Linked DNA regions of Nothobranchius furzeri. The protein of the gene in region 1 interacts with the protein of each later gene in a biochemical or structural test. Links are inferred from orthologs where the notes say so. Each region holds a gene or a part of one and is shown in the gene's direction. Other genes may lie near its edges. The genes, in order: stub1, atxn3, nqo1, ube2wb, cftr, lrrk2 and raf1a.

Region 1 (4,113 bases):
CAATCTTAATATTTTGATTTAATTATTCAAAAGTTTACATCACTGAAGCCTCAAAAGATCTTGGCATCCATGAAATAAGTTAATAGAGACCTGTTGTCCTTCTCTGCTGTTGCAGGTCTCTACACAGTTAGACGTTTTCAATTTTGATGTTCAAGTAATTTTGCAGCACAGAGCGCCCTCTGCTGGTGAAGCTTCAGATCAAAGTAGGACAAGCCGTGATTAAAAAAAAAGTAATTTGTGTGTGTGTGTGTGTGTGTGTGTGTGTGTGTGTGTGTGTGTGTGTGTGTGTGTGTGTGTGTGTGTGTGTGTGTGTGTGTGTGTGTGTGTGTGTGTGTGTGCTTTGCTTTGCTTTATGGTATTATAAGATAATAAAAATTTTAATTTGACACACAGACTCTAATTTAAATAAAGTTTAAGTTAAACTTTGAAATCCACAAAGAGAATGTTGGCTTCGACTTAAATATGTAAACAAAACAAAAAAACAAGTCTACCAAAATAACAGCAGCAAACAAAGATCCTGGATATCATTTCATAACAAGAATATGTGAGTCTGTTTGATCATTCATCATTGATCAACATGCCAGGAGAATCCTGAAAGGAATGTTGATAAATGATCCACGTTTTAACAGATTTGTACAAAGTTGCCATCAAAGGGTATATGAATGTAATCCACATTTTATTTTGGTAGGATTATTGCATTTTCTGACACTCTGACATAGCATCCTACCTGAATATGAATTTGAAACCACTGCATTAGGATTTGTACATAACTATTTGATTTAATGCTAAATTAGTAAATAAAGATAATTAAAAAATATAAAAAGATGTTCAGTACAACAGTAGATGCACACGTTTTTTTACCTTTATTGTCAATTAATAGTTGACCTCAAAACCTATTATGTATGAATATGTAAAATGTGTTTTGGAATTACTAATACTTTTGAATAGCTTGAATCTATGTCTACATGTGATAAAAAATAATGACTAAATAACTCACATGCCATCTTAATAAATTTGTCTAAATGTTACGTATTAACACGTAAATGTACAAAAATAAATGATACTTAAAAATGGTGTTTAAATAGCTACAAAATAATAATTAAGACAATTATTTAATAAAATAAAGTATACTCAAAATACTAAACGTTATTTACTGCATTTCACAAACAAATGAAATTGTTGGTAAGTCTTTCTATACATAAAACATTTTTTGTTTTATTCTAAATGAAAGATTAGGAGGTAATAACTGATACATAGTTTCAGTTATTTGCTTTTTATTTCATCGCACTAATTGTGTCCTTTCGGCTTCCGTTGGAGTAACGTAAAAAAGCCCTTTACGTCAGCATAACAACAACTTGTCATGAGAGCTCGTACGGGGAAAATCAATACTTAAAGACTGTATATCAAAATAAATGAAGTCACAATCATCTGGATGTAAGATTTATCATTAAAGGTAAGAGTTGGAAACGGTAGGCTTTAACAACGAACTCAGTTTAAACCAGAAACAGGGGAGGCTTTGGGCTAACAGGCTAATTTTAGCATTAGCTAAAGATTTTTTTACTTATCGCTTAGCCGGGTCTTGGTGTACTATATTATTAACGACAGTGTCCGGCTGAGAATAGTTTGGGATCAAACGTGGCATTTATTGTTCATTTGATGAATTCAGTGAGTTTAACTAGAGCTGAATGAGCGGAATCCTTTAGCAACCCCCGGTGAAAACCGACCACGTAGCCTAGCTTACTAGGCATAGCAGCGATCTCTGGTCTCACTAAAGTTGTGAATTTTTTCGTCTGAGAACATTTTCTTCCACAGCAGCTAGCCTCCAACTGTTCCTGCGCAAGCGAGTGATCTGTTTGGAGGTGTCGGTCGTCACCTTTCGGCTACCTCTGGTGTAAAGTTACCCTGACTTAATACTCAAAGCGGTGCTCATTGCAGATTGCAGCCCACGCCGATGTCCGTCATATGAATAGTTAATTCAGTCTAGGCACCTAGCTGTGTTTTTCAGCGGCAGTGCGCGCAGTCAGCAAATCAAACCTTTTGGGTGGCATCGAGCAGCATTGCACCTAAAAGACGCGCATTGCAGCTGCAGTGCAGTAAACCCTGTGGTGTCTGCTCTGTAGAGCGCGATCCAGGACGGACTGGTCATTTTGAACTCTGACGTCTGGCCAGCCGAAGAGACGGGGAACAGGATTGGGAAGCAGGGCGAGGCGGGCCCCGCGGAGCCGGTGGAGAAGATGGCCGGCAGCCCGGAGAAGAGTTCCACCGCGCAGGAGTTGAAGGAGCAGGGGAACAGGCTGTTCCTCTGCCGCAAGTACCAGGAGGCTGCAACCTGCTACAGCAAAGCTATTGTGAGTGGCACTAAGGATGTCTGAGTCTTAAGTCATCTAAGCTGGAAGAATACAAATGTTTCTGATTACAGATAATTCATTAACACACTTTCTGGTTTATTTTGTCCCACAGAACCGTAATCCATCAGTGGCTGTATACTACACCAACAGGGCCCTCTGCCATGTAAAGCTGCAGCAGTATGACAAGGCTCTGGCTGACTGCAAGCATGCTCTGGAGCTGGACAGCCAGTCCGTTAAGGCACACTTCTTCCTGGGTCAGTGTCACCTGGAGCTGGAGAACTACGACGAGGCTATTGGAAACCTGCAGAAAGGTTTGAGGAAGTCCTTAAAGAGGATGTAAACATGGCTGAGTTTTGCGTCATTTGGGGGGAAAAGTTCGTCTCACAAGTTCCTTCATTTTTCTTTCATAATTCCTTTTAGATTGAAGTTTTTGTATTGTCATCCTTTTATGTAGTTGTTTTCTCGTCCCCATTGTCTTCAGCAATCTTTAAAAGTTCTATTCCATGTCTACATCAATGTTGTGTAGATAAATTAATGACTTGTTGTGTAACATTTCAGAAAAGTCCGTTTTTTTCACAGTTCAACATGACCCTTAAATGTTGTAATACAATCTCCAGTAATTTCTGCCTATTTTAAATACCAGAAAGCTGATGTTTAAGTGCTGCTGGCTGACAGACTCACACTGTTCAGTCCGTGTGTTTTACTCATTTATATCTTTGAATGTTGCTGACAAGTCTCCAGACAAGTTCTTCAAACAAGCAGATCACACAGAGCATTAAACCCAATGTGCAACAGTTATTTGTTTTTTTTTACTAAAGCAGCGGAGTCCAATCCTGGTTCTGGAGTGCCGGTATCCAGCACGTTTTAGCTGTGTCCCTGCTCCAACACACTTAATCAGCAGCTCATCAAGGTCTTCAGAAGCCTGTTAATCACCTGCTGAGTGAAATCAGATGTGTTGGAGCAGGGAAACAACTAAAACATGCTGGATACCGGCTGACTTCAAAACTCATGGATAAGTCTAAAACCATAACACAACACGAGGGTCAGATTTATGCTTTCTATTATAAATGTATAGTTTACAGGCCAAACCAGAGCAATCAGAGGCTGGTTACCTGGTGGGTGCTGATGGACTGAGTCAGTGTCTCCAGTCTGCGTCATAATGATAGAGAAAGCTTGGTCATGTGTAGCTGCAGGTGCAAAATCTCTATCTTCTAACTACAACCTAACCTACCATTTCAGAGCGTTGGGAAATTGTTAAGCAGCCACAGCACCAGCTCTTCTGCAGCAGCATGGAATTGATAGAAAATTGATTTAAAGACTGTTTAGATGTTCTTTTTGACCGTTTTCCAAACTTCCAAGTTTTAACTAATGTGACTTATTTATTTGTTTATAGCGTATAACCTGGCAAAAGAGCAGAGGCTGAACTTTGGAGACGACATCCCCAGTGCGTTACGCATCGCCAAGAAAAAACGTTGGAACAGCATCGAGGAGAAGCGCATCAACCAGGAGAACGAGCTGCACGCCTACCTGACCAAACTCATCCTGGCTGAGAAGGAGAGGTCAGATGGGATTTTTCTGAAATACATTCTGGCACGCTGTGCTCCAGGTGGTTTAGATTTAGTGATATAACGTGGCGTTTACTATTTTTCATAGAGAACTTGAAGAATACAGAGAAAAACAGGATGACAATCAAAGCGGAGGAGATGCAGCAAAGATTTCATCAAAACACGTTGGGTTTTGCCCTGATTTTCACACTTTTTACTGA
Region 2 (4,056 bases), on another chromosome or scaffold:
TAATTCGATTCAGATGTAGTGACTGTAGCGGCTTGAATAAAACATCATTTTGAGATGATTAGAGCTTTGTAGTATTATCCTGCTGGATGTAGCCGTCAGAGCATGGGTCCAGTGTGGAAACACAAGTATGGACACTATCGCCAACAATAATCAGGTACGGGCCCAGACCATTACATCACCACCAGCAGCCTGAACCGTTAAGATGGATCCATGTTTTCAAGTTGTTAACATCAAAGTCTAACCTAACATTTATGAATGTTGCAGCTGAAGTTGAGATGCAACCTTTTGCTAATATCATGATGAAAACTGCAACACTCAGACCAGCCTGCCTGGCACCAGCACAAAACCACATTCATTACCACTGAAATCCCCTTTCTTCCCCAGATAATCAGACAAAACTTCATCATGTCCACATGTCTAAATGCTACCACCTGATTGGCTGTTTGTGTTAATAAGCATCTGAACTGGTTTACCTGCTAAACAAACTGGTGAGTGTATGGTACATCCACGCCAGGAGTCTGTTTAGGTTCACTTACATAAATATGCATCATCAGAACAAATATGTTTTTGTGTACCAACTGAACACCTTGAAAATAATACAATGGATTGGATGAAGCAAGTAAAATTATACAAAAATTATATTTCGGTTTTGAAAATAAAACTGAAATAATTTATTTTATACGAAACTAAAACAAAAACCACATTAGACGGATTTCTCAATAATAAAACACAAAGGCTGTAACTACATTAGGACGTTTAAAAATGCGTGATTATGTTGGTGTTTGGGAGGCGAAAATATCTGAACAGGTAAACCTAAATATGAATAACAACACAGTAACAGTAGACTAGTTTACTTTCACTGTAAATAAACGGAAAAGGCATTCAGGACCTCAGGCTAAGCATTTTAAATGTCATGTGTAAGCACAGAGGGGAAAGACAAACACTTACATCATTTCTCATGGAAAAAGACTAAATTTATCCCGAAAAGAAGTAAAAATAAAGTCGGTTTATCCGTAATAAACAGCGTGATGCCTCTCTAATGCTAGTTAGCCTTGGCGGCTACGACTATTATTAGCCTGGCAAGAACAACCTTCTACCATAATGCAGTAAAACCTTATTACACATGATTTTTTTTTTATTTTAAACTCCGTCGTTTTGCCACAAACTCTCAGAAAGCGCTGTCAACGGAATTAGCTGAGAGAACATCATACCTGACTCAGCTCCAGCCTGTTCATGGAATTCTCACTGTCCGCCATATTCCATTTGCCGTAAGTAGAGGCGTCCAGCACTGTGCCGCGCGCACGCCCGCCCGCTAGGGGGCGTCTCCTCTCGATAGGGCGAGTGAGGGGCGGGGGTTAGAGAGTTGAACGTTTGACAGAAAGCTGAATATGGACTCCATATTTCATGAGAAAGTAGGTTTAAACATTTTATAACACGAATTTACCTGATTATATTTACTGATTTTTGATTAAGCGGTGTCGGTGCTCGATCTGCTGAATAGTTTTACCAGTTAAGTAGCCGCTATCGAGGCGTTTGTGATGGAGTTGTTGTACAAACTGCTAATACGCTAATTCACTTGCTAGTCAGAGAATGTGAAAAGTTAGATTTTTAACATGATAACTATTCCTGGCGTCATGTAGGGGTTTTGTTTTCTTGTTAGTTAATCGCTCTCTGCTTGGCTGGGTCCTCGTTGGGCTAGCTGCTACATGTGTTTGTTTTGGTTGAGCATCTTTATTCCAGAAGTCCAGCTGATGCTGGATGCTTGTTACATTCCTGATCCTTTGTTTGCAGCAAGAGGGCTCCCTCTGTGCCCAGCACTGCCTCAACAACCTTCTGCAGGGCGAGTATTTCACTCCTGTGGACCTGTCCTCTATCGCTCATCAGCTTGATGAAGAGGAGAGGATGAGGATGGCAGAGGGGGGAATGGCTAGTGAGGAGTACAGGACCTTTTTACAGGTGTTATGAGACAGAGGGTACATATTGGTACAAAATGTTATCAAAAATGTAATTTTATTCATGTTTTTCTTTCGAAAATGTGTTTAAAGCAACCCTCTGGGAACATGGATGATAGTGGGTTCTTTTCAATACAAGTGAGTTTACAATTATCTTTTTATTGCTTCTAAAATCCATGTCCTCTTCTGTAATATCACTCTTGTTTCAATATTTTCAAGGTGATTAGCAATGCTCTTCGAGTCTGGGGCTTGGAGCTACTCCTCTTTAATAGTCGAGAGTACCAGAGCCTAATGATAAACCCAGTGTAAGGTTTTAATGTGGAAACATTATGATAGAAGATCCTGATCTCTCATTTCTTTAAGCTGATGCTTACTTTGTGTTTCAGAAATGAGAAAGCCTTCATTTGCAATTATAAGGAGCACTGGTTTACTATACGCAAACTTGGACAACAGGTGTGTGGCACTCACTCACTTACCTAGTCATACTTGTCTTATAGCAGCTTGATTCACTAAAATTCTCTGTTTCCTTTGCAGTGGTTTAACCTGAATTCACTGTTGACAGGACCAGAGTTGATATCAGACACATATTTAGCACTTTTCCTTGCACAGCTACAACAAGAAGGTAGCATCAGAAACTGTACATTTAGAGGTTGAACTGGAGAAAAGATGATTAAATTAGTTCTTTTTTTTTTTTGCAGGGTATTCCATATTTGTGATCCGAGGGAATCTCCCTGAGTGTGAGGCAGAGCAGATTCTTGGGATCATGAGGGTCCATCAGCAGCAGCGGCCAAGGCTCATCGGAGAGGAGGAAGCGCAGACGAGTGCGGGGTGTGTGTCATTTTGTTCACAAGGGTTCTGGTTTGTTTAACTCGTCTGATTCGTGCGTTTTGCTGTAAGCAGAAGGTCGGCTGCTCTGAGCCAGACAGAGGTGGTTTTTGGTGTTGAGGATGAGTCTGTGGGTGAAGATGAAGAACTGAAGAGAGCTCTGGCGCTCAGTAGACAGGACATGGATGTGGAAGATGAAGATGCTGATCTACGCAGAGCCATACAGCTCAGCATGCAAGGTCAATTGTGTGCCATGTGAAGGTTTTAAAACTGTTTGAAACTTGTATTAAACTTCTAAACATTAGTTTGTAAAATTAACTATTTGCATTTGTCTTTCTGCAGGAGCAGTGATGAGCAACAGGATGTCAGACAGTGAAGGGGAGGGTGTAAAATCTGGAGGGCAGGCAGCAGAGAGCACTACAGGAGAACAAAAAGAAGGCCAAAACGAGACGCTTACAGCCGAAGAGCTGAGGAAGAGGAGACGAGCCTACTTCGATCGGTAAGATCTACAACGACTGTTTAAATCCCTAAACGAGCTCTGCCCACTTAGAAAACAGATGTTTCTGTGTTTATAGGCAGCAACAAGCTCAGCCAAGCATTCCTCAACAAGCAGACAAACATTCAGCGGCTGATCCAGGTGATTAAATCTAACTTAGTTCAGAAGTCATGTGACTTGATGACTCGTTTAACCTGTGGCTCTTATTTCCACCAGGATCAGTAAACACTGGCTCTGAGGAGGACCAACAACAAGCTCCCATCCAATAAAGTGGTGAAAGTTTTGTCCGTGTTGTTTACCTGCAGCCTGGATTCAACTCCCCTCTCAGGGGTGGCTTTGCTCCTTCTTCTAACCTTTTGCAAATGCAAACATAAGGGCAGTCAGAAGGCTGACACGTGGTTACTCCCCCGCCCCCTTCCCGCCTCGTTAGTCACTGACTGAGGAAGAGAAGAACGACAAAGAAAAGGCAGCACTTTCTCATCTGAATCTTTTAGAAAGCACGGCCACTGGACCGGAGAAGACTCACGATGCAGTTTAATCCAAGTTTGCAATTTGCCTTTTTACCATGGCGCCTTCTATTTCTATCGTACAGTTTTATATCCTGGTTTTGTGTTTCTTTTCTTAAACACGTGGAAGTTATGTCCTTACTTGCTGAGAGGTAAAACGAAAAGGCGTTCAACAGAAGCAATATGAGACCAACGTTTAGATTAAAGCTTTACGGAAAACAACAAAGCCTCCTGATTTTGTAGCGGTTTTTCGTGCAACACACAAGTAATTAAAACA
Region 3 (4,293 bases), on another chromosome or scaffold:
ATAAATGATTATATTAGATTTCCACGGCTGAGGACAGAAGGATCAGAAGAATAGAGAAGCATCTCAAACCCCAGCAGGTGGCACTAGAGTCCAGAGTTCCTGCAAGTCACTTTGGTCAGAACAACACCTGTGTCAGCTCTAGTCTGTATAGTCCACCCCATGAGTCAGGTGACACTATACTCCCATGGTTGCCACGGTGATCATTAAATGCTGTCAAAACACCTAATCAGAATGTGTCTGGATCATTCTGCAGTGACTAAAAGATCAAATTAGATTTAAAAAAAAACCTCACCATCTTCACCTGAGCAGGTGTGTAAACTGCCCAGGGTCATGTGATCAACTCATCAATCAACAGCAGCTTGAAAGCAAACCAAACAAAACGTTTCCATGATGTGAAATCTGACCCTGAATTTGCTGGTTATCAGAACTCTGAACAGCAGATCAGGTGATAAAGGTGCTCAGGTAGCATTACTGAGTGTCATGGCGCGAAGGAGTCGTGTGTCTCCGTGTCTGAAGAGACAGACTTGTGCCGAGTTGGATTTGGAGCATCTAAAGTTTCAGTCAGAGAACTCATTACCTGCTCACTTTAGGAATGTGACTACCCTTCACCTATTTCAGGCTAATCTCAAAACTCATCTCTTCAAAATTGCTTAGTCACTGTTACAAGTGTTTTAAAGGGAGTTTTCCTCTCCACTATCGCTAAATGCTTAGTATGAGGATTGCTGTAAAGTCACTGACACTAGTCAGTGACTCGATGCAATTTGCTGGGTTCCTTTTATAAGGAACTTTTTTCTGATTGGCTTAATGACCTGACCTGTATTGGAATGTTTACTATGTGAAGGGCCTTGAAATGACTCTTGTCGTGATTTGGCGCTTTATAAATAAACTTGAATTGAAATAGAATTTATCTGATGTTTTATTTGGGTTTTAAATTTTCTAGTCATTGAATGTTTTAATTTCTTATTTATTTTTTAAACTAATTGTAGTGTCCTTGTTTTTTTAAAGGCACTCCAAATAAAATGTATAATTATTTTTTTTTATTATTATTATTGTTATTATTATTATTATTATTAGAGCACCTTTTGTCCTTCAGGACCCTCTTGTCTGGCTCCAGGACAGTCGAGGACCCCTAGCACCAACTCCTACCCGCATTTATGCATCAACAGTGATTTTACAGAGCTGACTCTCCGATAAAGATTAAATTATACTACTGGGTGTGAGATTGGGATTTTAAAAATGTATTTTTTACATAAACAGTTTTGGTAACCTCACAGCTTCTGCACAGACATTCTTGTGTGGACCCCCTTGGGGGTCATAGACCCCAGATGGGAACCCCTGCTTTAGAGAATGTGGTTCCAGGATCAAAACCTGTTTGGTTCTGGGAATAAAATGACTCCAGAATTTAGAACCAGCTCCTCTCTGGATTGTGTCTCTGCTCACGTCTCCTCCTGTTGAGCAGAACCGGTTCTGCAGCCTCTCAGACCTGTTTTTTTATTCCTTTGTTACATAACCATGAGGTTCTCACTTTCCGGCTACAGCAGCACTCTCACGCTAGCTGCTGGGTCTATAAGAGCCACAGGAAACACGTCCAGACTGCAGACGGAGTCTACTGAATCATCATGGGTAAGATTCTCATCTTCTGCTGCAGATCAGCTGAACTTTTCCATGTTTCTGGAGGAGAAACCCGGTTTCTGAGTCTCTGAATAAAGTTCTGGGCGGGTTTCTACAGAAACAATGACCTGATCGTTCCTGGAATGCAGGCTGTGCTCATTTGAAGAACATCAAATGAATGGAATTATTAATGATTGTTCTCATCTGAAAAAGTTTCAACAAACTTTCATTTTAGATATCAGGTTTTTTGTCTGCTTCAAAGGTGTTAAAGTAGAATTTCTCTAGTTTATTTTTGTTTATGTTCATTTATGACTAGAACACATAAATAAACAAGAACGTTTAGTTTGTGGGTTTTAGTTATTTATGCGTTTAGCATTTTTATGTGTTTTAGTTTTTTTGTTTGTGTGTCATTTGACCTTTTTGGTTCTGTTAGGTCAAGGTCAAGTTTAGTTGTGAAGCACATTTAAAGACAGCTGAGCTGACCAAAGGGCTTCGCCGGCCCGGAAATTATTAGTTTCAAACTAAGAAAGAATAAAATGAGACAATAAAAGCATGAAACAGTAACATTGATCACACTGATACACCAGGTACATGTAGCCAATAAATTATAATTTTAGTGTGGCAGTGGGAGCGTCCTGTCACAGTGTCCCGATTGATCATGCGCCCTGGCCGCGTAGCCAAGGGGATGTCCCTCTGGCTGGCTGGTAAACACACATGACTCTCACCTCGGAGTCTGGGGATCTAATCCCGCCGGGTCCCTCGTTACTCCACCTTGCCACATTAGGTTTAACTAAATGCTTCTTCAAATGGTCCTTTTATTCTAAAGTGTGTTGGGTCCGCTACGGAAAAGATGTCCCCACAAGTTTTCGGGTTGGTTCTTGGGACCTCCAGAAGAAACAGGGCTAAACCACAAACTTCTGGCTGGAGGATGGGGCACCAGAAGCTCAGAGGGGGCAAGGCCTTTAACGGATTTAAAAACAAACAAGATTTTAAACTTGACAGAATAGGTACTGGTCATATTCTGGTCTTGGTTCTGAAAACAAACTTCCTGTTTGTCGTTCCCAGATCGGAAAACAGCTCTCATCGTGTTCGCTCACCAGAATCCAGCCTCCTTCAACGCGGCGGTCCGGGATGCCGCGGTCCAGGAGCTGGAGGCTCAGGGATTTAAGGTCGTGGTGTCTGACCTCTACGCCATGAAGTTTAGGGCTAGTGCCACTAAGGATGACATCATCGGTGAGCCGCTCCTTTTCCTCCTGTCATTCATGTTTTCTTTATCGTCTCTTTGGTTTTTTTTTTTTTTTTTGGTTAGGTTGATTGATCATATTTAAGCTTTTTTTTTTACCATAAATTATGTTAAACCTGTGTGTGTGTGTGTGTGTGTGTGTGTGTGTGTGTGTGTGTGTGTGTGTGTGTGTGTGTGTGTGTGTGTGCAGGCGACCTGAAGAATCCAGACAAGTTTCAGTACGGAGAGGAGACGATGCTCGCCTGGAAGGACGGCCGTCTCAGTGAGGACATCAGACAGGAGCAGGATAAAGTCAAACAGGCAGATCTTATCATCTTCCAGGTCAGAGGTCACAAATCAGTCTCAGTTTAATGGTAATGATCCATGAAGAAGCCTCATAACTTCCTGTTAAGATTTTTGTCTGTTTTCACGCTGAGGCTTTAAAAAAAACCATCAGAACCTTTAGTCCGATCAGGACCAGTGAGCTGTGACTCTTGGGAGCAGTTTGTTGTATGATGGAGATGACATTCATTGATATCTATGATAGACACCCCCACAGACAGGTGAACCAGGTCAGGAAGCCCCGCCCCCTCTGGAGATTTATAGCTCAGAGTCTAAACGCGTCACAGGAAGTTGGATGTTCCATGATCAGACTGCTGTTCTGATGTCTTTGATCACTGGAGGATGTTTGGAGATTTTTACACAGATTGGAGAGACGCAGGTGGCTGGTTACCATGGAGACCCCGATAAGACACGCACTGTTTTTCTAAAGCACTTTTAGTTTTCACCCAGCAGCTGTTTGTCTGCTGTTTCGTTTTAGTCTGACTTCCTGTCAGGGAGGGGGGGCAACACAAGTGGCCGGTTGCCACAGTGTCCCTGATGAGCGAGTGGCTGCAGCTCTAACATTTTAGTTTATCTCGGTTTTCTTTACTCTTCAAACATAAGATGATTGTTTCAGCTCTGATTTTTATAAAGTTGCTGTTTGGAATTAAAAAATGGTTTTCCTGAGACTGTTTATAAATGATTGATTAGTTTTGTTTTTAGTTATCACATACACACACACACACGCACACACAAAACAAAAGGCCTCTCTGAGCTGGTGCTTTGTGTGTGCCTGCGGTAGTTTCCTATGTACTGGTTCAGCGTTCCGGCCATCCTGAAGGGCTGGATCGACCGAGTGCTCACCCAAGGGTTCGCCTTCTCGCTCCAGAACATGTACAGCAACGGGATTTTCAGGGTGAGATCCTGATCACATTCACACAAACCACCCGATCAGTCACAAACAGCAATAGAACTTTTTTATTTGATGAATTACCGTGTGTGTGTGTGTGTGTGTGTGTGTGTGTGTGCGTGTGCGTGTGTGTGTGTTTAGGGTAAAAAGGCCATGCTGTCCTTCACTACTGGAAGTACACAGTCGATGTGTAGTCCTGACGGCATCAACGGGGACATTAACGTGGTCC
Region 4 (3,500 bases), on another chromosome or scaffold:
GATTAAAGTCCCATAGTTGTCACTAGGGCTGCACAATATATCGTAAATATATTGTTATCGCGATATCAGCTTGCACAATATGCATATCACAAAGAACAGATAAATATCGCAATGAATGATCAGCTCAAATGTTTGCTACACATAATGCATTCTGTCAATCAAATGGAAGCCTGATGTTTTTTTTAACAAATCAAATAGAGCTCTTCACCCATTTGGCCAAAAGGGTGGGTTCTCATAGATTAGATGCCCGCCCCTGAGGCGGACAGTACTTAATTTTGATGGTTAGCAAACACATGAGTTAGCTTTGTTCTGCTCTTTTTGCTGATTCTGCTTTTCCTGGGATCCACTGATTACCTTTTCTTGTTCATTATCTTTTTCCCTTTCCTCACATCTTTTGCTTTTCTCGTTTTTTTTTTTCTTCTTTGTTTTTGATTATTTTTGTTCATGAGATAAGTTTTTATTTATTGCAAGTAATATTGTTATCGCAATTTAATCATTGTTATCGAATATAGCCGGTTTTCCTAATATCGTGCAGCCCTAGTTGTCACACACACTTGTGTGGGGAGGCGCGGTGTGCTGCAGACACGGCTGCGCTCGGGAACTATTTCGTAGTTTAACCCCCCAATCCAACCCTTTAAAGCTGTGTCAAGCATTGGGTCCCATTTTTAAAGGCCAAGTAAAAATGCCTTTGTTACCAAGACGAGACCAAGCACATATAATATTAATATCAGATAAGGAGAAACAGCCAGCTGCTACCACTTCAACTTAAGGACAAACTACCAGAGTCCCAAAAAGAAAAAACACCATTTGAAGTCACAGACACCAAAGATGTTTAGGCATAGAAAAATGTGATTGTTGATTTGTGCTCTCCCATTTACTCTGGCAATGCGCATTCCCGTATTGGGGGGCGTGGCCTAGCCGACGGAGGTATGAGAGTCTTTTGACTGTGTTTATATGGAATGGCCAACTTGCTGTGCTGATTTGGTAAAGCAGCTTCAATACCAATGGTTCAGAAAATATGATTACCACCCCTGTAACGTTTATATTCGACAGTAAACATTTGGGTAACCTGTGTTCTTTATTGGGGCACCGGGGGAATGTTTTAGTCATCATTGTCCTTTTTTGTTTTTAGGTGGATTGTAGATATGGAGGGAGCGCCCGGTACACTCTATGAAGGAGAGAAATTTCAGCTGCTATTCAAATTTAGTAGTCGATATCCTTTTGATTCACCTCAGGTAAGAGCAAAGGGTGTGTGTGTGTGTGTGTGTGTGTGTGTGTGTGTGTGTGTGTGTGTGTGTGTGTGTGTGTGTGTGTGTGTGTGTGTGTGTGTTCGCATATTTAAATGGGTCCTACAATTCAACAACCACTTTTACCTTGTTGTTGAATAGAGGCAACTTGAGATGTCTATGTAGCGTACCAAAAAGTCTGCAACTTGTAAATTAGTAAAGTTGTAATGGTCACGGAGAAACGGTTCATCCTGACAAAAACTGGTTTAACGCGTCATAAGCATAGACGCACCTCCCTACATTAGCATGCTCCAACCCACTTCAACATCCGCAATGAATAAACTTTGATCTCAGTAATGCTAACTGCAGAAAAATGCTAGCCCGAGCTACTGCTAATGTTCTTATAAACAAAGGGAAAACACATGTAACGTTCCAGGATGTACAGGGTATATCCAAACTTATAATGAATGCCAGATAGATCTGTAGCTTTCTATTGAATAATATGGATATTGTACACTGCTGTACAGAGATTCTAGCTTGAGCAGTGTCATTGAGCCATTAAACCAGCCAATCAGCATGCAGCTCATTTAATATTCATTATCAGAGCTCCTAGGGCATTGTGGACCCCAACAAAGTGTCATGTGCTTTATATGGCGCTTGCACACTAGCGTCGTAACGGTCGGGGTTTGGTCGGGCAGGATGGCGTGAGTTTGGGCTGGTATGGTCGGTGTAGTGTTTACATATTAATCCGAGGAACTTCTCAAGATGCGGAAATCCCCAAGCCTGTGGGGGGCGCTTAATACGCGCGGGAAAGTCCGTTCCATAAGGTACCAAAAGGCGGACATGAGCTGTGTTGCTTTTGGAGACTCTGAACCACATTATTTTATTAATTTACTCTGTGTCCCCTCATAATCTTGTGCCGCCCACCCCCTGATTTCTCCCCTGAGCAGCTGTCTGCTTGCGAGGGGCAAGAGCTCCGATGCGGAGAATGGGAGCATGCATGCACACACACACACTCAAACAAAGCTATTCTTTTCTCCCGCTCCCACACTTAATAGCAGCTCCGGATCGGCAGCTCCGTGCAACAGACAGAAGTTAACTCAACAGCATCCAGCATGAAAATGAACCGCACATGCAGGAACCCCCGGCTGGCTGATTCTTCTCGCAGATCGGAGGCGGTAGGCGTAATTTCAGCCGGCCAGTCAGTCCGTAGTGTCGCCTCGGTCCCAGTCTGACCGCTGGGGAGAAGGTCTGGGAAAAAGTCGCCTCGGCACTGAAAACGCTAATCGGACCGGTGTGTGAAACCAAATTCCGGTGCCGTTCGGTACCTTATGGGCCCGTACCTACGCTAATGTGTAAGCGCCAATAGAGGCTCAAAGAAAAGCTGTTGTAGATCCACGTTTGTGGATCTTTATCCATACCATACCATACCAAGTTTATTTATAAAGCACATTTAAAAACAGCATGACAGCTGACCAAAGTGCTGTACAGTAGTAGTAAAAGGAAAACCCCAAGATAAAAACAAGATAAATATCATAAAAGAGATAAAAGGGATAACCTAAAAATGTAAAAGAAACATACTAGAGTAAAAACAAAGTCACAATAAAAACAATGCTAAAAGGTTAGCACATTTCAACAGGGAAGATTCTATAACAATAAAAGCTTGGTCATTGATCAAAAGCTAAATAGTAGAAGTAGTCCTTCAGTACAGACTTGAATCAACCCAGTTCTGGGGCCTGTCGAACACTAAGGGTGAGAGCATTCCAAAGTTTAGGAGCAGCGAACACAAAGGCCCGCTCCCCACGAGATTTATACTTCATTTTTGGGATGTACAAAAGTAAATGATCTGCTGATCTCAGGGTTCTGGGTGGAACATGAGGCATGAGCAGTTCTGACAGATGAGCAGAGGCTTGACCATTCAGGATGTTGTAAACTAAGGTTAAGACCTTAAACTGGATACGATATTTAACCGGCAGCTAGTGCAAGCGTGCAAGGACAGGTGAAATGTGACAGCGTCAAGAGGTGTTTGTCAGGAATCTAGCCGCTGCATTCTGCACTCTCTGAAGCCTTATCCAGCCTAGTTGAAAGGGTCACTCATTTCTTACACTGTCTTAGCTTCAGTTTTCTTTTATGATGTTTTGACAGTAATGTTTGAATTCAGCATCACTAGATGATCCGATATTGGCACCTATCTGTTAAGAGTTCTGCAGCGGGGGCACTAAAGCCCAGAGGACCACTTTTCTAAACTTAAGTGGAAAAACTTTTGTGTCTACC
Region 5 (3,500 bases), on another chromosome or scaffold:
GAAGCACGTGTTTGTTTTATTACATGGATGGGACCACACACCCACCCACCTCTACATACACACACACACACACACACACACACACAGGTGTTATTGCGTCACAGACTGTATTTATGCTGAGTGCAGGTTTAAGGGTCATTTCACAGCTCATTAGTTTCCAATGAGGCCAGAAGCATAGCTGTAATAGTGAGAGCAGCATCAGAGTTCACTTTTGATTGGATGGTGCTGATAAATCTGTGTGTGTGTGTGTGTGTGTGTGTGTGTGTGTGTGTGTGTGTGTGTGTGTGGTGGGGGGTTCTCTCCATAGAGGACAAACCAGGAGAAATAGGTATCGTTGTGGCTCTGGCTATGCTCATTCTGGGGACCTTCCAGTGGGCTATCATCACCAGTATCAATGTGGATGGACTAGTATGTAGCACACACACACACACACACACACACACACACACACACACACACACACACACACACACACACACACACACACACACACACACACACACACACACACACACACACACAACTTTGAGGGTTTGATAAAAACATGCAAAATTTCTCATTTCTCCCAGCTTCTCCCCCCCCAATGGTTGAAATTAACTACAACTGTTGCCTGCTGTAGCTAACGCTAACAACAAGCTAATGCTAATTTTAGCCAACTGGTACTAAATAAAAGATCCTCACTGTTGGACAAAAAAACTATTATTACTAACAGTAGCAACAAAGCCAGGTCTCAATTAGTCCGTGATTTTTTAGCCTCCTTTAGCTCCCTCAAACCAGTGTCGGCCGCGCCGATGTTCACTTTGATTTTAGCTCTTTGCTTCTCCTCCAAAGATATCCCTCTGTTACTTTCTCTCTGAGTTTCTCGGTCGGAAAAAGAGTCGTTAACAAGCGTGCTCACGAGCACACACAAAGAGCAGACTCACTGCTCAGGGGAAGAGCAGACACAGAAACTGCCTGCAAGAAGGGTGATATCCTCTTAACTGAGGTTGCTAGGGAGGAGGACAGTGGTGGCGCCAGGGGGGTGCCAGGGGGCGCTATAGCTACCCTGGATCAGTCATAGCACCTCAAGTAAATATTAGATTTGTTTTTTTACAATTTAATTTCAATTTAACGTGTGGATGTGATAATATTTAACATACAAAACAAAAATAATCAGTAAATTATCATATAGATAGTAAAAACTTAAACCAAAACAGTAAATTGATGTTAACCTTTGACCTCATGTTCCACTTGCGAATGAGTGAAAGGTAGAGCTAGTGGTAAAATGGGTCGTTTTTTGTTGCCCACATTTCCACGGGTTCATTCAGAAACGAATGAATGTTTGGAAGTGATCTCAGACCCACAAAAACCTACGTATCTGGATGAAGAGAGTCAACCCTCAACCGCCGCAGCAGTCCAGGGTTTGGCTGCTGGAAATGCTAACACTAACATTAGCTAACCTTGCAACACTCTAGATGGTTTTCTGTGTGGCTGTATGTGTTTATGATTTCATGGAAAAGTCAGCGATTGTTCACATGTTTATGATTTATATTAATGATTGTTTCAGGTGTTGTTGAGGTTTTGTGCACGCATGTGTATCTGCTGGTGTTGAAGGTGTTTTAGAGAACAATAGGTACGCATGACCACTTCCTTCATAGCACCCTCAATAAAAAGACTAGCTCCTTCATAGCACCTGCAGAAAAACATTTCTGGAGCCGCCACTGGAAGAGGATGTTTTTCTAAGGAGGTGAGTGGCTCCGAGCACCAACGTGTCATATCAGCAGGTGAGTGGTTGAGCCAGGTGGAGGTGCAGCAAGACTCAGCAGGAGTCCAGTGCATTGCAGCCACATAGTACTGTACAGACTGGCTGATTCTAACTCGGTGTGGAGCAGAGTTTTAACCTGAAGAATGAGATATCATTACAGTTTTGGGCTGAAATTGTATAATTTAAGTAAGTTGCACTAAACTGCCAAAATAATGACACATGTCTACAGCTCTATTAGACACTCATCCACACAGGTAATCAGCAAAAAAAAAAGAAAAGCTGATTTAGGTGTTACTCTCACTTTACGTACAGTTTCTGACCAGCAGAGGGCTACAGAGTGCTGTCCCATGTGGAGTTGCTCAAGTTTCTGGCTCAAGAACCACTGAAACCAGTTTGAAAGCAACGGCTTAAAGTGTTAAAAACTCTAGTGTTGCCTTAAGAAGAAGACAAAATTTAGCAGGCCTCCGCGAGATAAATTATCGTCACACCAAGTAAACTTTTCGTATTTTCCTTGTAAACTTTCCTTTCCTTGAGCCAGATGCTAACATGAATATATAGGGTTTGAATTAACAGATTCTCAGCCACCTCGGCTCCTTCCGGGCAGAATACCGCCTTTTGCAACTTGAGTCTCTCTGGACCGGTGAAATGAAGTCTCAAGAGAGTCACGTATCTCGTGAGAAGCAGTAATGCTATACTGCAATACACGTTTGCCCGTTTCCTGCTTCTTTCCATATTTATATTTCCTCAGACATTTCCTTTATTGTTAATAGAAAAAATTCTGCCCCAGCTCCCCCTGCTCTCACGGAGACCAGAGCTTTGCTCACACAACACCCAATCATGAAATTAATTTAAATGTGACTTTTTTAAAGAATCTTATAATTTGACACACAACCAACTGAACCAAAACATAGGAAGTACCAAACCTGCACAGGGCAGAATTCAGTCCACCTGTTTTCTCCTCTCAGATGCGTTCAGTGGACCGGGTGTTCAAATTCATCGACCTGCCATCAGAGGAGGTCCTACTGGGTAAATCTGGAGGCAGAGGAGGTTCCGACTTCATCATCAACAACCCCCACATGTACGACTACTGGCCCAACCGAGGTCAGCTGGACGTCCAGGATCTCACTGTTAAATACACCGAAGCTGGGCGAACCGTGCTCAACAACATCTCCTTCTCTGTGGAGGGGGGGCAGAGCGTGAGTCCCAACCTTAACTACACTTTAGTATTCCCAGTAGATCTCTTCATGTTTTTGTCTGTTTGTTAACAAAAAATATCTGATGACCAGTAGATGTAAATTTAGTTCAAGTTGATTCTTTTGGACTCTTATGTTGTCCTGGCAGTAAATAAATCCTGACTTCCTGTTTGCTTGTCTAACTGTTGCTGTTAGCATGTGGAATAAATACATCTTGCCTTTAATACATATCTTTTTTGATTCCTTTACTTTTTTGAAGTGTGTTTCTGTGTAAAACTACCTCGCCTGTTGCAGATAATTTCCTGAACATTCTCTGTTTGTAAGTAAAGTCTGCATTATTCAGCAGAGATGGGAATTGTGGCATCAACAAGATAACTTCATGCTGTGATTTTGTTCTGCTAGGCAACTGGACCAGGTTCATTCTCTGTGCTGACTGAAATCACCTGGTTTACCTGCTGGACTGAAGAAAAACCCGGCATGGAGAAGACTTGTTGATGCCACAATTCTCAATTTCTGCTATTCAGGACTGATATGCTAATGGATAGTCTGAGTGCATTACTGCA
Region 6 (3,500 bases), on another chromosome or scaffold:
AAAGAGATCAGGGGCCTCATTTATAAACTCATTCTTCCAACTATCATTTCTATTAATGTCCTTAACCTGCAGGTGGAGAGGACTTCAGTGGCTCTCACCCCCACTTTCTGACATCCAGAGCTCTCTACCTGGTTGTTTACAACCTGAGCAAAGGAGCCAGTCAGGTGGATGCTCTCAAACCCTGGCTCTTCAACATTAAAGTGAGCCACAGACCAAAGCTGAGCTTGTTTCTCTGTGCTGCTGACAGAGATCAGAGGTACCACTTCCTGATTTAAACTACATTGATGAGAATGGTTTTCCTGCATCTTTACTTCAGGCTGTGGCTCCGCTGTCCCCAGTCATCCTCGTGGGGACACACACAGATGTGAGTGAGGAAGCGCAGCTCCAGGCTTGTCTCGGTAAGTTTCGACAGGAGCTGCTGAACTATCAGGGCTTCCCGGCCATCAGAGACCATCACATAGTCTCTGCCTGCGAGGACTCGGATTCCATCGTCAAACTCCGTAAGACTATCATCCGGGAGGTCACCAGCTTCAAGGTAAAAAGGAAGCAGATAAATGTATTTCTTGTTTTATCGTCTAATCTCAAGTCATCTGCTCTTTATTTGCCAGATCCAAGGCCAGGAAGTTATAGGTCAGCTGGTGCCAGACAGCTATGTGGAGCTGGAGCGCAGGATTCTGCAGGAGAGGACCAAGGTCCCCCCAGAGTTCCCCGTTCTCAGGCACAGCGAGCTTCTGCAGCTCATCCACAAGAGTCAGCTGCAGCTGGAGGAAGCCGAACTGCCTCAAGCTATCCACTTCCTCAGCGAAGTTGGTCAGTTAGGAGCACAGCTGTGTATAAAAATGCCAAATCTACGATAAAATCTCATATTCATCAGATCAAATTAGAATTGTTTGTTTATATGAAGAAACTTGGTATAAAACCCTTGGTGAATTGTTTCCTTATTGTAAAACTCCGTGTTGATTTTTCCCCTTTACTCCAGCCTGTCAGAATGGAGCGTTCTTGGAATGAGGAACACAAAATGAAAGATTTTATCTAGAACCTCACCTGCTGATTAGTTACAGATTGTTGTGAATAAACTGATCAAGTCTTTGATTTGTTTTTGCTGTTGTAGGGATTCTGTTGCACTTTGATGACCCTGCGCTTCAGCTGCAGGAATTCTACTTTCTCATCCCACAGTGGCTCTGCAACGTCTTGTCTGAGGTAAGTCCATTACCCTGACCCTAGCCAAGCTGTTTCGTTTTTTGAAATAAAAAGTAGCTGAGTACGTTAACAATCATCACAACATTTACACGTTTCATTCTGGTTCTGGGCTACCAGTGACCTGCTGATGGCAGCTGAGTTTTCATTAGCATCACGCTCTTTCCCTTCAGTCTGATGCTTTTGACACCAGGGTCTTTTATCAGCATGCATGCTCGTCTGAACTTGTGCACTCACGTCCTTGTGAAACCTCATCAACTTTGGCTTAAGTACTGTTCCAAACCTGAGTATGCATCATGGCAAGTACTCTTAAAATACCAGGAAGGGAAAAAAAGAAAGAAAAAAAGGAAAATAAAGAAAAAAAGGAGAAAAATACCAGGATGTGTTTTTGCTCTGCTCGTTGTATAGAGGACGCATCAACGCAGCCTTCTGTGGACTTGGGCCAGCAAGCTATCCCATAATGCATTGCATCGCAAATGGTTCTACCTCCAATGGAAAGTTGTGGAAGACAAAGCTCCTAACTAGTGTTTCATTATCAAAAATACAAATAAGTCTAAATAAATAAATATAAAATTGTCTGTTATTGTAGATAATTGTGTGTAGACTGGGAAATGGTTGTGTTTGTTTTTCTCTTTTTCTGACTCTTCACTAAACCACGACAGGTAATTAGCTAACCCACTATCAGAATAAAACCAGTGTTTGCATATCTGTTTTGATAAAAAACGAACTTATTTTTCTTCATGTAACAGCGTGAAATGCTGGTATTTTACCAGTTTTGAAGAAAGATAAATGAAAGACACACTGTAGCATTAAAAATTTGACCAAATATTCTACAAACAAAAGGTTTTCCTTGTTATTTTGATATTTAAGGGACAAACCAGAATTTTACTGTTCTTTCAGGTCCTTTTTGTAACCGTAGTATAAAAGCTTTTTGCCAAGATGTAATGGAGTATGGTTGTTCCATATGCAGTCTTCGTCCTCCAGTACTCCATAGAACAGACTTTCTGCTGTCCCAGCCAAGAACATAGTCTCATTGAGAAATGGTCCCTCTTTATAACCCACCTCTTGATTGTCTAGTTTGTCATGGCAATGCTGGACTACCAGCCAGCTTTAGCTACAATTATACCTCTAAAACCACACACTAGACTTTAGTCTCCAATCCCATCCATGCTAGGTTATTATTGGTGTTCCACAGGGTCAAGTCCTTGAGTCCCTCTTTTTTTGTAATTAACCTCCATTTAAATGTGTCTAGGAAACCATGTTTAACTATTATCAAATGAAACCCAACCAGACTTGTCTGCCAAACTCTCACCTATACTGTTTTAGTGAAATGGTTAGTTTATAATATCCTCCAACTTATGGGTGAAAAACCGGAGTTTGTCTAGTGTCTGTTAGCAGCAACTTGGTCCTGCTGGCGTGTTACAGTAATTTTATCATATTTTATTCCACTGTAGGTAAAGAGTCTGATGTAATTCTTGATAGAACTCCTTAATTCAAAAATAGCTTTAGTCTTCTTGGTTTCCTTTATGGACCGACTCTGTACACCTTTACCAACCAGCAGCTCAGCTGTGAAATCCACACATCTGGTGTTGGTTATTTAAACTTCCTTAGCTAACATTTTTAGATATAACTATCTAAGTTGTCCTCAAATGCCCTGAAAAACTCTCATGTAAGTAGTTCTGTCTTCTTTACAGAGAGGGATGCTAAAGAGCTGTAGTCTCTGGGAGCAACCCAAAGGAGTTATTCAGCGATCCGTGGTGGAAAGGTTTCTGTTTGAGACCAAATGTTTCCCAAAGAGCCACCTGGTCCAGTTCTTTAAACTCCTGGAGAAGTTTCTGATTGCTCTTCCCTTTGGGGACGGCCAGCTTCTTGTTCCTAGCAGGTAAGTTTCACTTTTTTGGAACTTGCCCCGATTAAAGAGTCTTGAGTTTTATAGCATCTCACCCTGCTGTCTGCAGCTTGTCCAAACACAGGCCGGTGATCGAGCTGCCTCACTGTGAGAACTCTGAGGTGATTGTGCGTCTGTATGAGCTGCCCTACTTCCCCATGGATTTCTGGTCCAGGCAGATCAGCCGCCTGCTGGAAGTCTCATCCTATTTGCTCGGTGGAAGAGGTAAAATGAGCAACTTCTGTTTCATTGTAAAGAATTTCATCATTTCTTAAGCAAACAGCAATATAGTAGAACTCTGTCACCTTACTTTCATAGAGAAAGTTCTCCGACCAAACCGAATCTACTGGAGGAGAGGGCTTTACTTAAACTGGTCCCCTGAGGCCTACTGTCTGGTGGAGGCTGCCTCGGAGGA
Region 7 (4,166 bases), on another chromosome or scaffold:
CTGGCGTCAGACGGACGCACAACAAGTCGAGCCGCGTCACCTTCTCCAACAACGTGAAGATCGATTCAAACGGCGTCGCTTTAGCGGGGAACCCATCGGACTTGTACTTTCAGTGTTTTTTCTGCATCAGGGAGAAAATCCACCGTCGTGTCACTTTGAAGGACCGACGGATTTCTCGCTTTTGTCACGTCCGGAAGACAAAACCTTGTTTTCCGTTGCTTTGGATGAATTTTTTCCAAGAGCCACCTGTGACCTTTATGTTTTACAGTAACTGAACTGACTTTCTGCGTTTACAGGAGCGTTTGGGACTAGTCGAGGACTCGCTTTTGGTCTTTTTTCCCACTTTTCTTTGAATGCGTTGCAGATATGATGATGTCACCGACGCCACTTTTTCCTAAAGTTATGGCGGAGCACAACTTTTTGAACTTCTCTTGGTAAGCATGTACGATCTACCGGTCCTAGCACTTCACTACTATTGATACACGCTTGAAAGCCGAACTTTTAGTGTTAAAACCGGTTCTTTTTCAGACACATTAACACAAAATACAGGTTAAACCATTAAAAACCGAGCAGAAGTTCAGTTCGCTGTTTCAGGGAGGGCCTGCTGGCTGCTTCGCTGTTTTTGGTGAAACTGTCGAGCTTTATTTAAAAACACACTCGCTGCTACCCTCAACGTATCATTTTAAAGCACGAGAAAACCCACACGAGTATCCCAAATAGCTGTTTGTCCCTTGTTTGGTTTGAATGCTACACACTAGCAGCATTCATGCTAACCTGCTACATGTCAAAATCACATATGTGGACGTTTGATGAAGCAGCCATGTCGTTGTTGTAAACTGAACTCATGCTTGGGATGAATCAAGCGTTTGCAACAAATCTCCAGCGTTTAGCCTGTCTGCAGCAGATGTGCATTAACACAAGTACAGCAGACATGATAACAACACGAGTGTCTTCAGGGTCAGCAGCCTCCTGTATAAACCTGCAGGGTGGTGGTAAACACGTGAATGTCAAGAATAAACAAAAACCTTTTGGTTGTTTACATTAAGCTCAGTAGTTTGTGATGGAAACAATCCAGGTGAGTGGGTTTATTTGATGGCCTGGCCTTTTGTTTTCAGGAAACACATTTTGCATGAAATAGTCAGTTTAGCTCAGCTCATTGTTTTCTTCTTCTGGTTTATTAGCATATATAGGCCACACGCGACTCTTTTTGCGTGTTATAAACTTCCAGCCGAGACAAAAAGACCCGCAGAAACACACAACTCTGCAGTTTGGATTAGCTCAGTGTTTCTGGCTTTTCTCAGTAATTAATATGTTTTTATGCCACAATCCCCACATGCGATCTCTATTTAAAGGTTGCTGGAGGTGAGATTAAGTTTTGAGATTAAACCTTACAGCGCTCTAACCCAAATCTCATGTTTTGCCACTTTTCCCCCCCTGGTGTTTTAATCAACCGTGTCCAGGCCAGCAGATGCTGTTTCTCATTGTCAGCATAAACATTGTGTCTGTATGCCCCAAAACATGCATTTCTGCAGCTTTTGTGTTCTAGTTAAGAGAGCCAGTAAATGAGGAATGCACCCACAGAGATGGATGAGATCCAATGTGTTCCTTTGTGATCTGCATAGATTGTTGTGAGTATTTAGTTTTACTGATGGAGCACCTTCAAGGAGCGTGGAGAACCCTGAGTAACGGCTTTGGAATGAAGGACTCTGCGTTTGAGGGTCCCTGCCTTTCCCCGACTATGGTCCAGGGCTTTCCCCACCAGCGACGCTCCTCAGATGACAGCAAGGTGCCAGACTCGAAGGCTAGTAGCACAATCCGTGTCTACCTCCCAAACCAGCAACGCACGGTGGTGAGTTAGTTCTGCATTAGGAAACGCGTTTAGAGTTTCCACATTTAACACGGCGACCTCTGAATTCAGATCATAATTATTTGTAATTTCCCGTGTGTCAGGTAAACGTGCGACCAGGTTTGACTTTGTACACGTGTCTGATTAAAGCCCTGAAGGTGCGAGGGCTGCAGCCTCAGTGCTGCGCCGTCTTCAAGCTGCACCCAGGTCAGAGAAGGTGAGTTCAGGGTTTTTGGACAATTGTAACCAGAAGTAAGAAGATCACATGCTTATGTTTCTCCCCCTTTATTTCTACGGTTTGTTTTCCAACCAGTAGAAAATCTCGGATGGACTGGAACACTGACTCCACCTCTCTAATTGGGGAAGAGCTGCTGGTCGAGGTTTTAGATCACGTTCCGCTGACGACCCATAATTTTGTAAGCACCCAAGTCCTCTGCAGCGCCCTCACCTCCGCGTCCAGCGGCTAAATCAACACGTTCAAAATGCTTTCTGTCATTTCCAGGCTCGGAAGACCTATCTTAAGCTAGCCTTCTGCGATATTTGCCAGAAGTTTCTTTTAAATGGTTTCCGCTGTCAAACATGTGGCTACAAATTCCACGAACACTGTAGCACCAAAGTGCCCACGATGTGTGTGGACTGGAGCAACATCAGACAGCTCCTGTAAGTATCTGAGAGGGGTCTCTTATTATAAAAACAACTTTTGATTAAATGGGGGAAAATGGTGACATGGTGAAGCACAACATTTTTAACAAACAAATTACAAAAAAATACACCAATTAAAATAAGCAAGTCAGCACACGCACAGTTCGTTTATCTCCCTCGGGCTTTATAATTTGATTTATATTAGAAATGAGCTCACCCAAACTTTCTGCAAAGATGAACAGTAGAAGGAAGCTCTGCTGATATCCCAGTTTGCATAGGGGTGTGCTCATTTGCATCCTGGCACTGCCAAAAAGGCCGTTTTGTTTCATTTTGCATGCAGGCTGTAGATGAACAGTAATTCTGTAAAGATTAGTGTCATTTGCACACTGCTCTGTTGTAAACACACCCTCCTCAGGACTTTAGTCTCTTGTTTCTGTCGGCAGGTTGTGTCCGGTCCCCGGGGAGAGCGGCACCCCGTCACTGCCGCCGCTCACCTCTCGACGGATGAGAGAGTCTCTGTCACGGTTTCCAAGGTGACGTTGCTTCTCTCTACTTATTCATCACAAACCCTCTGCAGAAGGATAAAACAAGGTTTTATTATGCAGGTGAAACTGGAACAATACTTCAGAATATGGTCCATTTATTTATGTAATCCAGATTAGACTGAGAGGCCATCTAAAGGCTCAGGAAAACCTTTGCAGGTGTTTCAAGTTGAATTACTGACATAAATGAACTTTTGCACTGTTATAAGTTTAATTACCTCCAGATTAACATCAAGCTGTTGTAGACTAGATTACAGATTAGATGTTATTCGGCTCACATGTGGTCAAGTTTGGACTTTTTTAGGATCATATTTTAATTGTGTTGTATGTGTTTAAAAGGCTGTCTTTGCTTCAGGGAAGCTTATCAGTGGAAGGAATGATGTAACGCCGGGTGTGAAAAACAGCCTGTTGTTTTGATGGCTGATAAAGTGGTTTAAAAAAAACACCCAGGGTTGCTAAATTGGCTGTCGCTGCAAGTTGTTCCTTGCAGAAAAATGCGAAATGCTCGACAGGAATATTAATTCCTGTTGTCTAAAGCGGGACTGCTCATGAAGAACACCAAGGCGAGGTTCTGCTCAAAAACACAAACAGCCGGTTCCTCTGCGCCGCTTCTGGACGATTTCTCTGCAGATCCGAGAGCGGCTTTGCGCTGCTGTAGGATTAGCATATCTGGCTGGAAGGTTTTGTGCTCTTTAACCGATCTGGACACAAAGCCGCTCAGCCACACACGGCTAAAGAGGAAGACCAGTAACAAATACGAGCCCACTAGCTACTTCCCTTAAACAATGTAGTTTCACTCTTTGCTGTTTACCACACAGCTAAGGCATGTAATGGCTTCTGGTGCTGAATGTGTGGCAGTAGTCCAACGTAAACAAGGGTGCTTGACTGAGGAGAGTTAATGAGGCCACCTCACCCACACCCACACCCTCACCCGAAGATGTGGCCGACAGAAGCATCCACTGCTGGTTTGGTCGTTTTTAGCTAAAGGCTCGATTGTCATCCTGTCACAGCTCAGCCCACCGAAATTCCACCCCCCACGCCTTCAACTACGCCACATCGTACCAACCCACAGGCGGCGGTCTCTCCCAACGGCAGCGCTCCACCTCCACGCCCAACGTCCACATGGTCAGCACCGC

Evidence for each region.
Region 2: of the proteins of stub1 (region 1) and atxn3, one has a biochemical effect on the other in vitro, tested with the Homo sapiens proteins (6 studies listed by BioGRID, with this or other methods). The link is inferred for Nothobranchius furzeri from reciprocal best matches to the Homo sapiens genes STUB1 and ATXN3.
Region 3: of the proteins of stub1 (region 1) and nqo1, one has a biochemical effect on the other in vitro, tested with the Homo sapiens proteins (2 studies listed by BioGRID). The link is inferred for Nothobranchius furzeri from reciprocal best matches to the Homo sapiens genes STUB1 and NQO1.
Region 4: the proteins of stub1 (region 1) and ube2wb form a complex in vitro, tested with the Homo sapiens proteins (7 studies listed by BioGRID, with this or other methods). The link is inferred for Nothobranchius furzeri from reciprocal best matches to the Homo sapiens genes STUB1 and UBE2W.
Region 5: of the proteins of stub1 (region 1) and cftr, one has a biochemical effect on the other in vitro, tested with the Homo sapiens proteins (4 studies listed by BioGRID). The link is inferred for Nothobranchius furzeri from reciprocal best matches to the Homo sapiens genes STUB1 and CFTR.
Region 6: the proteins of stub1 (region 1) and lrrk2 form a complex in vitro, tested with the Homo sapiens proteins (3 studies listed by BioGRID and IntAct, with this or other methods). The link is inferred for Nothobranchius furzeri from reciprocal best matches to the Homo sapiens genes STUB1 and LRRK2.
Region 7: of the proteins of stub1 (region 1) and raf1a, one has a biochemical effect on the other in vitro, tested with the Homo sapiens proteins (4 studies listed by BioGRID, with this or other methods). The link is inferred for Nothobranchius furzeri from reciprocal best matches to the Homo sapiens genes STUB1 and RAF1.

Annotation. Positions count from the first base shown.
Region 1 is NC_091756.1:32,259,707-32,263,819, reverse strand, and holds the start of stub1 (E3 ubiquitin-protein ligase CHIP), read left to right. Parts: upstream 1-1,313; 5' UTR 1,314-1,453; intron 1,454-2,120; 5' UTR 2,121-2,234; coding exon 2,235-2,348; intron 2,349-2,460; coding exon 2,461-2,659; intron 2,660-3,741; coding exon 3,742-3,907; intron 3,908-4,001; coding exon 4,002-4,077; intron 4,078-4,113. UniProt on the Homo sapiens protein: E3 ubiquitin-protein ligase which targets misfolded chaperone substrates towards proteasomal degradation.
Region 2 is NC_091758.1:31,656,002-31,660,057, reverse strand, and holds atxn3 (ataxin-3), read left to right. Parts: upstream 1-1,298; 5' UTR 1,299-1,388; coding exon 1,389-1,412; intron 1,413-1,791; coding exon 1,792-1,956; intron 1,957-2,045; coding exon 2,046-2,090; intron 2,091-2,171; coding exon 2,172-2,257; intron 2,258-2,338; coding exon 2,339-2,405; intron 2,406-2,486; coding exon 2,487-2,574; intron 2,575-2,650; coding exon 2,651-2,780; intron 2,781-2,852; coding exon 2,853-3,016; intron 3,017-3,119; coding exon 3,120-3,276; intron 3,277-3,352; coding exon 3,353-3,414; intron 3,415-3,489; coding exon 3,490-3,542; 3' UTR 3,543-3,556; downstream 3,557-4,056. Other genes in the region: E3 ubiquitin-protein ligase UBR1, read right to left, coding at 1,212-1,256. UniProt on the Homo sapiens protein: Deubiquitinating enzyme involved in protein homeostasis maintenance, transcription, cytoskeleton regulation, myogenesis and degradation of misfolded chaperone substrates.
Region 3 is NC_091749.1:66,525,528-66,529,820, forward strand, and holds the start of nqo1 (NAD(P)H dehydrogenase [quinone] 1), read left to right. Parts: upstream 1-1,493; 5' UTR 1,494-1,619; coding exon 1,620-1,623; intron 1,624-2,676; coding exon 2,677-2,844; intron 2,845-3,044; coding exon 3,045-3,175; intron 3,176-3,956; coding exon 3,957-4,070; intron 4,071-4,205; coding exon 4,206-4,293. UniProt on the Homo sapiens protein: Flavin-containing quinone reductase that catalyzes two-electron reduction of quinones to hydroquinones using either NADH or NADPH as electron donors.
Region 4 is NC_091747.1:53,051,291-53,054,790, reverse strand, and holds part of ube2wb (probable ubiquitin-conjugating enzyme E2 W-B), read left to right. Parts: intron 1-1,132; coding exon 1,133-1,235; intron 1,236-3,500. UniProt on the Homo sapiens protein: Accepts ubiquitin from the E1 complex and catalyzes its covalent attachment to other proteins.
Region 5 is NC_091744.1:53,050,081-53,053,580, forward strand, and holds part of cftr (cystic fibrosis transmembrane conductance regulator), read left to right. Parts: intron 1-307; coding exon 308-408; intron 409-2,709; coding exon 2,710-2,940; intron 2,941-3,196; coding exon of another isoform or gene 3,197-3,211; exon of another isoform or gene 3,212-3,256; intron 3,257-3,339; exon of another isoform or gene 3,340-3,500. UniProt on the Homo sapiens protein: Epithelial ion channel that plays an important role in the regulation of epithelial ion and water transport and fluid homeostasis. Mediates the transport of chloride ions across the cell membrane.
Region 6 is NC_091744.1:48,478,194-48,481,693, forward strand, and holds part of lrrk2 (leucine-rich repeat serine/threonine-protein kinase 2), read left to right. Parts: intron 1-72; coding exon 73-200; intron 201-316; coding exon 317-535; intron 536-608; coding exon 609-810; intron 811-1,111; coding exon 1,112-1,200; intron 1,201-2,891; coding exon 2,892-3,079; intron 3,080-3,155; coding exon 3,156-3,310; intron 3,311-3,403; coding exon 3,404-3,500. UniProt on the Homo sapiens protein: Serine/threonine-protein kinase which phosphorylates a broad range of proteins involved in multiple processes such as neuronal plasticity, innate immunity, autophagy, and vesicle trafficking.
Region 7 is NC_091755.1:58,342,979-58,347,144, forward strand, and holds the start of raf1a (raf-1 proto-oncogene, serine/threonine kinase a), read left to right. Parts: upstream 1-1,366; 5' UTR 1,367-1,597; coding exon 1,598-1,849; intron 1,850-1,950; coding exon 1,951-2,063; intron 2,064-2,159; coding exon 2,160-2,262; intron 2,263-2,348; coding exon 2,349-2,506; intron 2,507-2,931; coding exon 2,932-3,021; intron 3,022-4,040; coding exon 4,041-4,166. UniProt on the Homo sapiens protein: Serine/threonine-protein kinase that acts as a regulatory link between the membrane-associated Ras GTPases and the MAPK/ERK cascade, and this critical regulatory link functions as a switch determining cell fate decisions including proliferation, differentiation, apoptosis, survival and oncogenic transformation.